Linked DNA regions of Xenopus tropicalis. The protein of the gene in region 1 interacts with the protein of each later gene in a pairwise test. Links are inferred from orthologs where the notes say so. Each region holds a gene or a part of one and is shown in the gene's direction. Other genes may lie near its edges. The genes, in order: bysl, hmbox1 and coil.

The links.
Region 2: the proteins of bysl (region 1) and hmbox1 interact in binary tests that used the Homo sapiens proteins (3 or more experiments, as listed by UniProt). The two-hybrid records come from large-scale screens. The link is inferred for Xenopus tropicalis from reciprocal best matches to the Homo sapiens genes BYSL and HMBOX1.
Region 3: the proteins of bysl (region 1) and coil interact in binary tests that used the Homo sapiens proteins (3 or more experiments, as listed by UniProt). The link is inferred for Xenopus tropicalis from reciprocal best matches to the Homo sapiens genes BYSL and COIL.

What each region holds. Positions count from the first base shown.
Region 1 is NC_030678.2:70,761,491-70,765,246, reverse strand, and holds the start of bysl (bystin), read left to right. Parts: upstream 1-1,162; 5' UTR 1,163-1,180; coding exon 1,181-1,439; intron 1,440-2,553; coding exon 2,554-2,716; intron 2,717-3,756. Other genes in the region: med20 (mediator of RNA polymerase II transcription subunit 20), read right to left, coding at 1,003-1,016. UniProt on the Homo sapiens protein: Required for processing of 20S pre-rRNA precursor and biogenesis of 40S ribosomal subunits. May be required for trophinin-dependent regulation of cell adhesion during implantation of human embryos.
Region 2 is NC_030681.2:151,880,694-151,884,449, reverse strand, and holds the start of hmbox1 (homeobox-containing protein 1), read left to right. Parts: upstream 1-862; 5' UTR 863-1,069; intron 1,070-3,756. Other genes in the region: ints9 (integrator complex subunit 9), read right to left, coding at 558-566. UniProt on the Homo sapiens protein: Binds directly to 5'-TTAGGG-3' repeats in telomeric DNA. Associates with the telomerase complex at sites of active telomere processing and positively regulates telomere elongation.
Region 3 is NC_030686.2:52,235,012-52,238,767, forward strand, and holds the start of coil (coilin), read left to right. Parts: upstream 1-1,168; 5' UTR 1,169-1,188; coding exon 1,189-1,433; intron 1,434-3,756. UniProt on the Homo sapiens protein: Component of nuclear coiled bodies, also known as Cajal bodies or CBs, which are involved in the modification and assembly of nucleoplasmic snRNPs.

The sequences.
Region 1 (3,756 bases):
GTTACTGTTCCTTTAAGATGACTCTAAAGAGGGCAAAGAAGTTAAGAAAAACAAAATCTCTCTTCATATTACCAGTGCAGCTAAGCAAACACTGGCATGTATATTGTAAGATGTATCCAGTATGGCAGCATCATGGGCACTCAAAGGTTTAGCGTCACCAGAAAAGATTTTCAAAGCAGCAATTTGGAGGTGTCCTAATATTTTTGTGAAGCATTAAAAAATGTTTCTGCTTCTGCAGATTTTGAATAAAAAAGTAAAGTATTTTGCAGCATTTGGTATGTGTATGTTCCCTCCCAATTGTGCGGACTGCCATGAGAATGTGAACAGGAAAAGAGAAAATCTATATCCAATTTACTGTGATTTTCTTTTCCTGGAGCATTCCAATGCATTGTGGGTTATGTACAATGGTGGCATTTGGAGGATGCAGGCTGAAGGCAATCATACAGCAATAGGAAGTATGGTTGCTGCCTAGGCAAAAAAAGAAATCATGGCTATTGTTAATGTTATTTATAAGAAAGGAAGATAAACATAAGACAGATATATTTTGGTATAGTATATCAGTCTTCCTATATTCATAACTTTATACCCTATTAATAACATTGGCATCCAGCACATTTTTTTTTTTACCAGCAACGCTATTGGGGGTTCAAAATTATCATTAAAAAATTCTATTATTCCTTAACAAAGGCAAAAAAAAATCCTGAAAATAAGAGGCAGAATACATTTTCAACAGGTTATATTTACAGTGTTGATTTTTAAAAAAGGATATCTTTTAACTGTCTCCCTATTACCCATAGCATTCTTAGTGTGATACTGCACTGCAGTGTTGAATTCGTAGGATTCCGTTTTTCTATAATTAACAAAGCAGCAGTCATGCAAATAAGTAAGCGTAAACTTAGTTTACAAAAGATAAAAACAATCCAGAAGTTAACACGTATCTGCAAACATCAAAATGACGTTTCTTCTTTTTCTACTACTACATTAAAAATGACAAACACTTACCAAGTCACTCCCATGCTGGTACTTAATTGTACAAAACACAGCGACGTGTTATGACGTCACGGCGCTCAAAATTGTTGTCATTATTTGCGGTTCACGCAAGTCCCACATCGAGGCGTACGATGCCAGGGGAATAGGAGCATGCGCAGTGTGTGGATCTATGCACGTGTATGTCAGGAAAATGCCAAAGCACAAAAATTCTCGGGGAGCTGCTTCTCGCTTACTCCCCTTAGCTGATCAGATCGAACAGGAGGGAGAAATTAGACCCTCGTTCCGTAATAAGCGCAAGGGGAAACCTACAGACGACGCCGAAGATGATGGATACGTGGACGAGAAATTGTCCCGAAGGATTCTGGAGCAGGCCCGTATTCAGCAGGAGGAATTGGAGGCCGAATATAGTCTGGGGAATGTGACCCCTAAAGAGAGGACAACTGTTTTAGGTAAAAAAGGGTAAAGAAACATTTCCAAGGCAGAATACAAAACAAAAGTTTTTAAACCGGTATATAAAATCAGTGGGGAGTCTTTAGACTGAGTCATAACCAACAACTAGTGCTGTAGTTGTAAATACATAGAAACGAGTATGGGACAGTCTTAATAATCCATTAATGTAATCCATTTAGGGCCAGATTATATTGAAATTTTGCCATGCAAAAAAAGTCTACTGGGGGCCAAAGAAATGCTCAAATGCTCATTAGCTGGTTCAAATTGAACATTCCAGGTATATAATATGATACAGTCATACACATATAAGAATATTTGAAAAGTTGTACATAAATAATTTGCTAACTTCATTCTGTGATAAAATGAAGGATATCTAATGTGCTGTTTTATATGCTGATGCATCTCCATGCAAACACATGTGCAGTATGAAGCAAGGAGGGAAAGGAAGGGAGAATACCTTTTTAGAGATGGCTGCCTGTTCTAGAATATGTGAAGTAAGTGTGACTGAGTAAATATTTGATTAGGTGAGCCAAAAGTGTGGCATTTTTACTAAACAATAGGAGGACTATTGGGCAGTATGCTTTTTAAATTTTGACTTGCATTCTCCTTTAATGATTATACTCCACATAGCATATATACTTTAGTGTATATGTTATAAAAGACCGGAATCATGTGTGCAAAAATGGATTGTACACTGCACCTTCATCTTAATTTTTAAGATTTGATTTTATCAAAAATGTTTTTAGGACCCTTTTTAAATTAAAGGTACCATACAGGCAGTGCTGCTTTCTAGTTCTATTTAGCCATGACAAGGTACAGTATGCTCAGTTATACTAGCTGTAATTAGAACAAAAAGTGTGTAATATAGCCTAACATGCACTAAATGTATTCAGACTGTGACCCTTAACTCGCATTACAAATATTTCATGTTCTCTTGGGCCTACCCTGGGAATTGTTTGGAACCGGTGCTCCACAGAAACAGACCTTGTAGCATTCACTAAGTACAGTCTGAATTAACTTATTTACAAATTAGAGGTCATTATTTCTTCATATTTATCTTTGCTTGTATATTGGCAAATCAATCATTATCTTTTGTAAATCCTTGCCCTTCAGATTCCAAGAACAGAGCAGAGGGTTCAGACTCTGAAGATGATGAGTGGCCTTCATTGGAGAAGGCAGCCAGTCTGGAGAAAGGTACCCTCAACGAGGAGGTACAAATTAACCCTGAAGATGAAAAGGCAATGGAAATGTTTATGAATAAGAACCCTCCACTAAGGTAAAGTAGCAACTATCTGGAGACGCCAAGGGTTACATGGGTCAAATAAAGCCGGGCCAGAACTTGGGGTAGTCAGAAGGGAGCAACGATGTGGGGGTGTGACAGTTACCTCTTCTGCCTACCCCCTAGTACACACACTATTGCCCCAGCTGCTTTTCTCGCATCCTACCCGGGATGTCAGTGCACTTTCTCATGTACACACATGAGAGGTGGGGTGCAGGGTGGCCAATTGGGTTGCCTAGGGTGCCCGGTCGGCTTGGCCAGCCCCTGAATAAAATAATCATTAATAGAAATACTTTATAGCAAAGATTACGGAACTTTATCCATACACTATCATTTGTGAAATTTAACAGGTCTGGATATGTACATTTTAGTCAAAAGATGATTTTGAATAAAAACAAATTAGTGATGAGTGATTCATAACATTTTCAACCCTAACCTGCTGTTTTCCAACCCAGCTTCTACTATAACTTTTATGTGGTTCTTCTCCGATGACTCTTATATGGGTGGGACCAGTCACCACAGGAGATGGGTTAGAATTAATACATCACCTGGTTGCAGTTTTACCTGCCACCCTCTTAAACCCGCTTCTAGGGCTTGGTTCTCGTGGGTTTTGAGTCATCCCATTTATCCCTAGTGTGAATGAATGCTTAGTTTACCTATAGTTGCAACCAGTAGAGCAAAATGAAACTGAATTGCTGTCTCTGCTAATTTCTTTAGTATATGGCTTTACATAATGACAAACCCCTCCATTGTTTCTAATCCCTCTATCCCTCCTAAAAGGGGTGTAACCATGTATATTCACAGCCCAGTCACTTGTTTCATCTCACTAGGTCTCAGTGATACAAATTATATCCTAATTGTCAGTACATTCAATAGACTCCAGCTCTTCTAATTTCCCTGACAAGCTCTGTGCATTTGCCAGCATGCCGTGGAGGTTACTATTTTTCCCTCTAATATTTACATTACAGAACTAAGAGTTAGATCTGAGGTTACTATTAGGGGTTTTCCATGTAACAGAGGAATCTCCTTAGCTGGTA
Region 2 (3,756 bases), on another chromosome or scaffold:
TACAATAGGGGGCACTTTATTCACTATATATTATAAGGAACCCCTCGGGGGCTTATAATATCCCTATATGTTACAATAGGGGGTACTTTATTCACTATATAACAGGATGTGGACCCCTTAGCAACAAACACATGTGCATTAGCCCATAGCAACCAATCAGCTTTGATCAATTTAGAGCAGGTCAGACTCATGGAAGTAGATTGGCTGCTATGGGTTACTGCACTTTTGCACCACTCTTACTAAATACCCTGTCAGAGGGTAAACTGACATCTATGTACATCTGATGGCCATATTTAAGTGAGGGTAGGGACTTTGTCAGGGAAGGGACTAGAGAGGACCTGGAGCCCACACACATAAAACAGAGGAATGGGCACATTTAGGACCTGCTATTTACTCGCAGAACTACAACACTGTTGGGGGATGCTGGGAGCTGTAGTTCAGGCAAAGGTTGGAAAGGCGCCATTTGGGAAGCACATTGCGGATACAGACACGCCAGGGCATATCATATCTATAAAGGCATGAGAGAAAATATAAGAACCCAAAACCATGAATCTCACCAGCTTCATCTTTGCCTTGTCCCCGGCCTCACCGCCGAGCGCCCCTTTTTCTGGTGACGCGATGGTTTCTGGGACTTGTAGTCTCTCCGGCCCATAACTCGCTGCGTCAGTGTGACGTACGCTCAGCCAGGCGGGATAGGGCGGTAAGAGAGAGACTGGCGCTCGGCATGCCGGGTAGTGTAGTTTTCCTGCTTTCGCCTTCCGCTCGCTCCCCGGGGAGAGTCTGGCTGCGCCGAAAACTACAACTCCCAGACTCCCGCGCAAACATTCGGCTGGGAGCTGCGCGCTGCTGAGTGCCAACATGGCGGCGGGGTGGCAGACAAAGACGGGTCGGGTTCCGATGTGAGTCCCGGAGGCGGGTGGGGGAAAGTGAGCGCGTCGGGCACCGAGGGCTGCTACTGGCACTCCGACTGGCATAGGACTGGCATACATTCTCTTTCTGCCCGCTGGCTGCGGGCTCGGCAACCGGACTCATGTTGTGTGGGAGAGAGTGAGCGCTGCTCGGCACTCAGGTAAGGTACTGGCACCCCCTGCTCTCCAGCAACTCCTGCACTCTGCCCCGCTGCACTCTACTCTCTCTGTCTCACTCTCTTACTGCACTCTCTCACTGTGCCACACACTGCCTGACTGTCTCTTACTACACTCTCTCACTGTGCCACACACTGCCTGACTGTCTCTTACTGCACTCTCTCACTGTGCCACACACTGCCTGACTGTCTCTTACTGCACTCTCTCACTGTGCCACACACTGCCTGACTGTCTCTCACTGCACTCTCTCACTGTGCCACACACTGCCTGGCTGTCTCTCACTGCACTCTCTCACTGTGCCACACACTGCCTGGCTGTCTCTTACTGCACTCTCTCACTGTGCCACACACTGCCTGGCTGTCTCTTACTGCACTCTCTCACTGTGCCACACACTGCCTGACTGTCTCTTACTGCACTCTCTCACTGTGCCACACACTGCCTGACTGTCTCTTACTGCACTCTCACTGTGCCACACACTGCCTGACTGTCTCTCACTGCACTCTCTCACTGTGCCACACACTGCCTGACTGTCTCTTACTGCACTCTCTCACTGTGCCACACACTGCCTGGCACCCTTGCCTCTCTTTCTCACTCTGACTGGCACCTACAGCACTCACTCACTGCTCTCTCACCCTGACTGGCACCTACAGCACTCTCACTCTGACTGGCACCTACAGCACTCTCGCTTGCTGCTCTCTCACTCTGACTGGCACCTACAGCACTCTCACTCACTCACTGCTCTCTCACTCTGACTGGCACCTACAGCACTCTCGCTTGCTGCTCTCTCACTCTGACTGGCACCTACAGCACTCTCACTCACTCACTGCTCTCTCACTCTGACTGGCACCTACAGCACTCTCACTCTGACTGGCACCTACAGCACTCACTCACTGCTCTCTCACTCTGACTGGCACCTACAGCACTCACTCACTGCTCTCTCACTCTGACTGGCACCTACAGCACTCACTCACTGCTCTCTCACTCTGACTGGCACCTACAGCACTCACTCACTGCTCTCTCACTCTGACTGGCACCTACAGCACTCACTCACTGCTCTCTCACTCTGACTGGCACCTACAGCACTCACTCACTGCTCTCTCACTCTGACTGGCACCTACAGCACTCTCACTCACTCACTGCTCTCTCACTCTGACTGGCACCTACAGCACTCTCTCACTGCTCTCTCACTCTGACTGGCATCTACAGCACTCTCTTACTCTGGCACTTACAACACTCACTGACTGCTCTCACTCTGACTGGCACATCCTGCACTCACTGCCCTCTCACTTTGACTGGCAACTCCTGCACTCTCTCTGTGCCTGCCCCACTGCACTTTTTTGCCTTTTTCTTTTCGCTTGCTGCACCCTTATGTTGTGTTGACACTTTTTTAACTTTTAAGCCAAGCCCCTGGCAGTTTCACGCTGAACCCATTGAACTTGCATCCTGCCTGGCACATTATATACCCTGTGTTGCCTCTCACCCCCTGCACTCTCCCTGCTCCTGCCCTGTTGCACTCTCCCTGACATGGCACTTGCTGCACTCTCGCTGCTCCTGCCCTGTTGCACTCTCCCTGACATGGCACTTACTGCACTCTCCCTGCTCCTGCCCTGTTGCACTCTCCCTGCTCCTGCCCTGTTGCACTCTCCCTGCTCCTGCCCTGTTGCACTCTCCCTGCTCCTGCCCTGTTGCACTCTCCCTGACATGGTACTTACTGCACTCTCGCTGGTCCTGCCCTGTTGCACTCTTCCTGACATGGCACTTGGTGCACTCACTCTGCTCCTGCCCTGTTGCACTCTCCCTGACATGGCACTTAGTGCACTCTCGCTGGTCCTGCCCTGTTGCACTCTCCCTGACATGGCACTTAGTGCACTCTCGCTGCTGCTACCCTGTTGCACTCTCCCTGACATGGCACTTAGTGCACTCTCGCTGCTGCTACCCTGTTGCACTCTCCCTGACATGGCACTTACTTGCTGCCGGGTATGTTGCTGTATGTGACAGTGCACACTGCACAGGTGTGGATGCCCCTCTCGGCACTCTCACACTATTCCCTGCCCAACTGCACTCTTCTGACTGCTACTTTCTGTATTGACATTGCCCCTGCCCAGCTGTGCGCTCACCTTTCTCTCTTTCACATAATTGTCTGTCCCTTGTGCAACTCTACACTCTCAGACTTCTTTCACATATACGGCACTCTTGTACACCGTCCCCTCTTTAAACTGCGCTCTGTTTCTTCCCCATGTGCCAACTGCTCTGTGTACAGCTGTCCCCCACTCACCCCTGTAGCACCCCGCACATTTACCCTGCCCCATATACAACTTGCCCCTAGCACTTCTCCCTGATACACATTGCTGAATGGCACCCCTGCTTCTATCACTCATGTTTGTTTCATGCCTCCCTCTCTGCCCGGTCCTTGCACCCTGACTGACCTGCACCCTAGTCTGATACTTGCACCCTCACACTTCAGCCCGATGCCTAGGCACTGCCTTGCCAGCTAGCACTTAGCTTTCATTTGGACAAAACCTTTAAACTTGATGGTTTCGTGTCTGTTTTCCAGCCATAATTCCTGTGTATGTTACTATGTTGCCCAGTGAAGCCTGATACTTGTACTCATTGCACTCCTCGCACTGCACTAACATGCTGCTGTTTCCCTGCACTCTCACCCCACTTCATG
Region 3 (3,756 bases), on another chromosome or scaffold:
TCTGGTACCGCCCATCCCATCAGAATTTCCCAGAGGTCTTCAAATAAGCTCCACCTTCAATGCTCAACATTCAGGTGTAGAATTAAACATGGCCTCAAATATAGTGCCCTTAGTACAGCGCCCCCACATACACTACCCCCCCCCCCACCGTCAGTCCCCATGGCAGCAGTGAGTATGTGCCCAATCCCCTTGCAGTCTGGGGGTAGCAGAACTACATTAATAACAGGGGCAGTCACAGCTTGGCTGCTCTCCTCCCCATGTATAGAGACAGGGGTGTACCCAGTACTATATACCCCATGGCAGCAGTGAGTATGTGTCCAATCCCCTTGCAGTCTGGGGGTAGCAGAACTACATTAATAACAGGGGCAGTCACAGCTTGGCTGCTCTCCTCCCCATGTATAGAGACAGGGGTGTACCCAGTACTATATACCCCATGGCAGCAGTGAGTATGTGCCCCATCCCCTTGCAGTCTGGGGGTAGCAGAACTACATTAATAACAGGGGCAGTCACAGCTTGGCTGCTCTCCTCCCCATGTATAGAGACAGGGGTGTACCCAGTACTATATACCCCATGGCAGCAGTGAGTATGTGTCCAATCCCCTTGCAGTCTGGGGGTAGCAGAACTACATTAATAACAGGGGCAGTCACAGCTTGGCTGCTCTCCTCCCCATGTATAGAGACAGGGGTGTACCCAGTACTATATACCCCATGGCAGCAGTGAGTATGTGCCCCATCCCCTTGCAGTCTGGGGGTAGCAGAACTACATTAATAACAGGGGCAGTCACAGCTTGGCTGCTCTCCTCCCCATGTATAGAGACAGGGGTGTACCCAGTACTATATACCCCATGGCAGCAGTGAGTATGTGCCCAATCCCCTTGCAGTCTGGGGGTAGCAGAACTACATTAATAACAGGGGCAGTCACAGCTTGGCTGCTCTCCCCCCATGGCAGCAGTGGGAGGAGCTTACCTTGAGTCGCTCCCATAGTTACAGTATGTGGGAGGAGCTTACCTTGAGCCGCTCCCATGAGCACCAGTAAAACTAGAGGCCCCGCCAACATCTTGCCTGTAACATTGGCCTGTCACGTGCCCCTGATCAGCTGATGCTCACATGACTGAGGAATCATCCAATCACTTCCTTCCGCCGTGGTAGTGTGACGTATTTCCGGAGCTGTGCCTGTGCCCCAAGCAAGATGGCGGCGCCCAGTTGTGTGCGAGTGAAGCTGCTGTTCGACTACCCGCCCCCGGCCCTCCCGGAGAGCTCCATGCTGTGGCTGCTGCTGGATGTGAAGCGGTGCCGGGCGGTGACCGACCTGGCCAGTATTATCCGCCAGAGATACATGGGCGGCCGGGGGGGCGGCCTGAGCCTGTATGTGGAGGATTGTCTGCTGCCGCCGGGGGAGAGCATCCTGCTCATTAGGGACAATGACTCCATCAGGTACGGGGGGGGGAATGGCTGAGTATATCCATCATTGGGGGGGGATGGCTGAGTATATCCATCATTGGGGGGGGGAATGGCTGAGTATATCCATCATTGGGGGGGGGGAATGGCTGAGTATATCCATCATTGGGGGGGGGAATGGCTGAGTATATCCATCATTGGGGGGGGGAATGGCTGAGTATATCCATCATTGGGGGGGGGGAATGGCTGAGTATATCCATCATTGGGGGGGGGAATGGCTGAGTATATCCATCATTGGGGGGGGGGGGGGGGGAGAATGGCTGAGTATATCCATCATTGGGGGGGGAATGGCTGAGTATATCCATCATTGGGGGGGGGAATGGCTGAGTATATCCATCATTGGGGGGGGGAATGGCTGAGTATATCCATCATTGGGGGGGGAATGGCTGAGTATATCCATCATTGGGGGGGGAATGGCTGAGTATATCCATCATTGGGGGGGGAATGGCTGAGTATATCCATCATTGGGGGGGGGAATGGCTGAGTATATCCATCATTGGGGGGGGGAATGGCTGAGTATATCCATCATTGGGGGGGGAATGGCTGAGTATATCCATCATTGGGGGGGGGGGAATGGCTGAGTATATCCATCATTGGGGGGGGGAATGGCTGAGTATATCCATCATTGGGGGGGGGGGGAATGGCTGAGTATATCCATCATTGGGGGGGGAATGGCTGAGTATATCCATCATTGGGGGGGGGGAATGGCTGAGTATATCCATCATTGGGGGGGGGGGAATGGCTGAGTATATCCATCATTGGGGGGGGGGGGAATGGCTGAGTATATCCATCATTGGGGGGAATGGCTGAGTATATCCATCATTGGGGGATGGCTGAGTACCCATGGGGGGGGGGAGAATGGCTGAGTATATCCATCATTGGGGGGAATGGCTGAGTATATCCATCATTGGGGGGGAATGGCTGAGTATATCCATCATTGGGGGGAATGGGCTGAGTATATCCATCATTGGGGGGGGGGGGGGGAGAATGGCTGAGTATATCCATCATTGGGGGGGGGGGGAATGGCTGAGTATATCCATCATTGGGGGGGGGGAATGGGCTGAGTATATCCATCATTGGGGGGGGGGATGGCTGAGTATATCATCATTGGGGGGGGGGGGAATGGCTGAGTATATCCATCATTGGGGGGGGGAATGGCTGAGTATTCCATCATTGGGGGGAATGGCTGAGTATATCCATCATTGGGGGGGGGGGGGGGGGGAGAATGGCTGAGTATATCCATCATTGGGGGGGGGAATGGCTGAGTATATCCATCATTGGGGGGGAATGGCTGAGTATATCCATCATTGGGGGGGGAATGGCTGAGTATATCCATCATTGGGGGGGGGGGGGAGAATGGCTGAGTATATCCATCATTGGGGGGGAAGCTGAGTATATCCATCATTGGGGGGGGAATGGCTGAGTATATCCATCATTGGGGGGGGGAATGGCTGAGTATATCCATCATTGGGGGGGGGAATGGCTGAGTATATCCATCATTGGGGGGGGGAATGGCTGAGTATATCCATCATTGGGGGGGAGGGAATGGCTGAGTATATCCATCATTGGGGGGGGGGGAATGGCTGAGTATATCCATCATTGGGGGGGGGGGGGGGAATGGCTGAGTATATCCATCATTGGGGGGGGGGAATGGCTGAGTATATCCATCATTGGGGGGGGAATGGCTGAGTATATCCATCATTGGGGGGGGGGGGAATGGCTGAGTATATCCATCATTGGGGGGGGGGAATGGCTGAGTATATCCATCATTGGGGGGGGGGGAATGGCTGAGTATATCCATCATTGGGGGGGGGGGAATGGCTGAGTATATCCATCATTGGGGGGGGGAATGGCTGATATATCCATCATTGGGGGGGGGGAATGGCTGAGTATATCCATCATTGGGGGGGGGGAATGGCTGAGTATATCCATCATTGGGGGGGGGGAATGGCTGAGTATATCCATCATTGGGGGGGGGGAATGGCTGAGTATATCCATCATTGGGGGGGGGAATGGCTGAGTATATCCATCATTGGGGGGGGGGAATGGCTGAGTATATCCATCATTGGGGGGGGGGAATGGCTGAGTATATCCATCATTGGGGGGGGGGGAATGGCTGAGTATATCCATCATTGGGGGGGGGGGAATGGCTGAGTATATCCATCATTGGGGGGGGAATGGCTGAGTATATCCATCATTGGGGGGGGGGGGAATGGCTGAGTATATCCATCATTGGGGGGGGGGAATGGCTGAGTATATCCATCATTGGGGGGGAATGGCTGAGTATATCCATCATTGG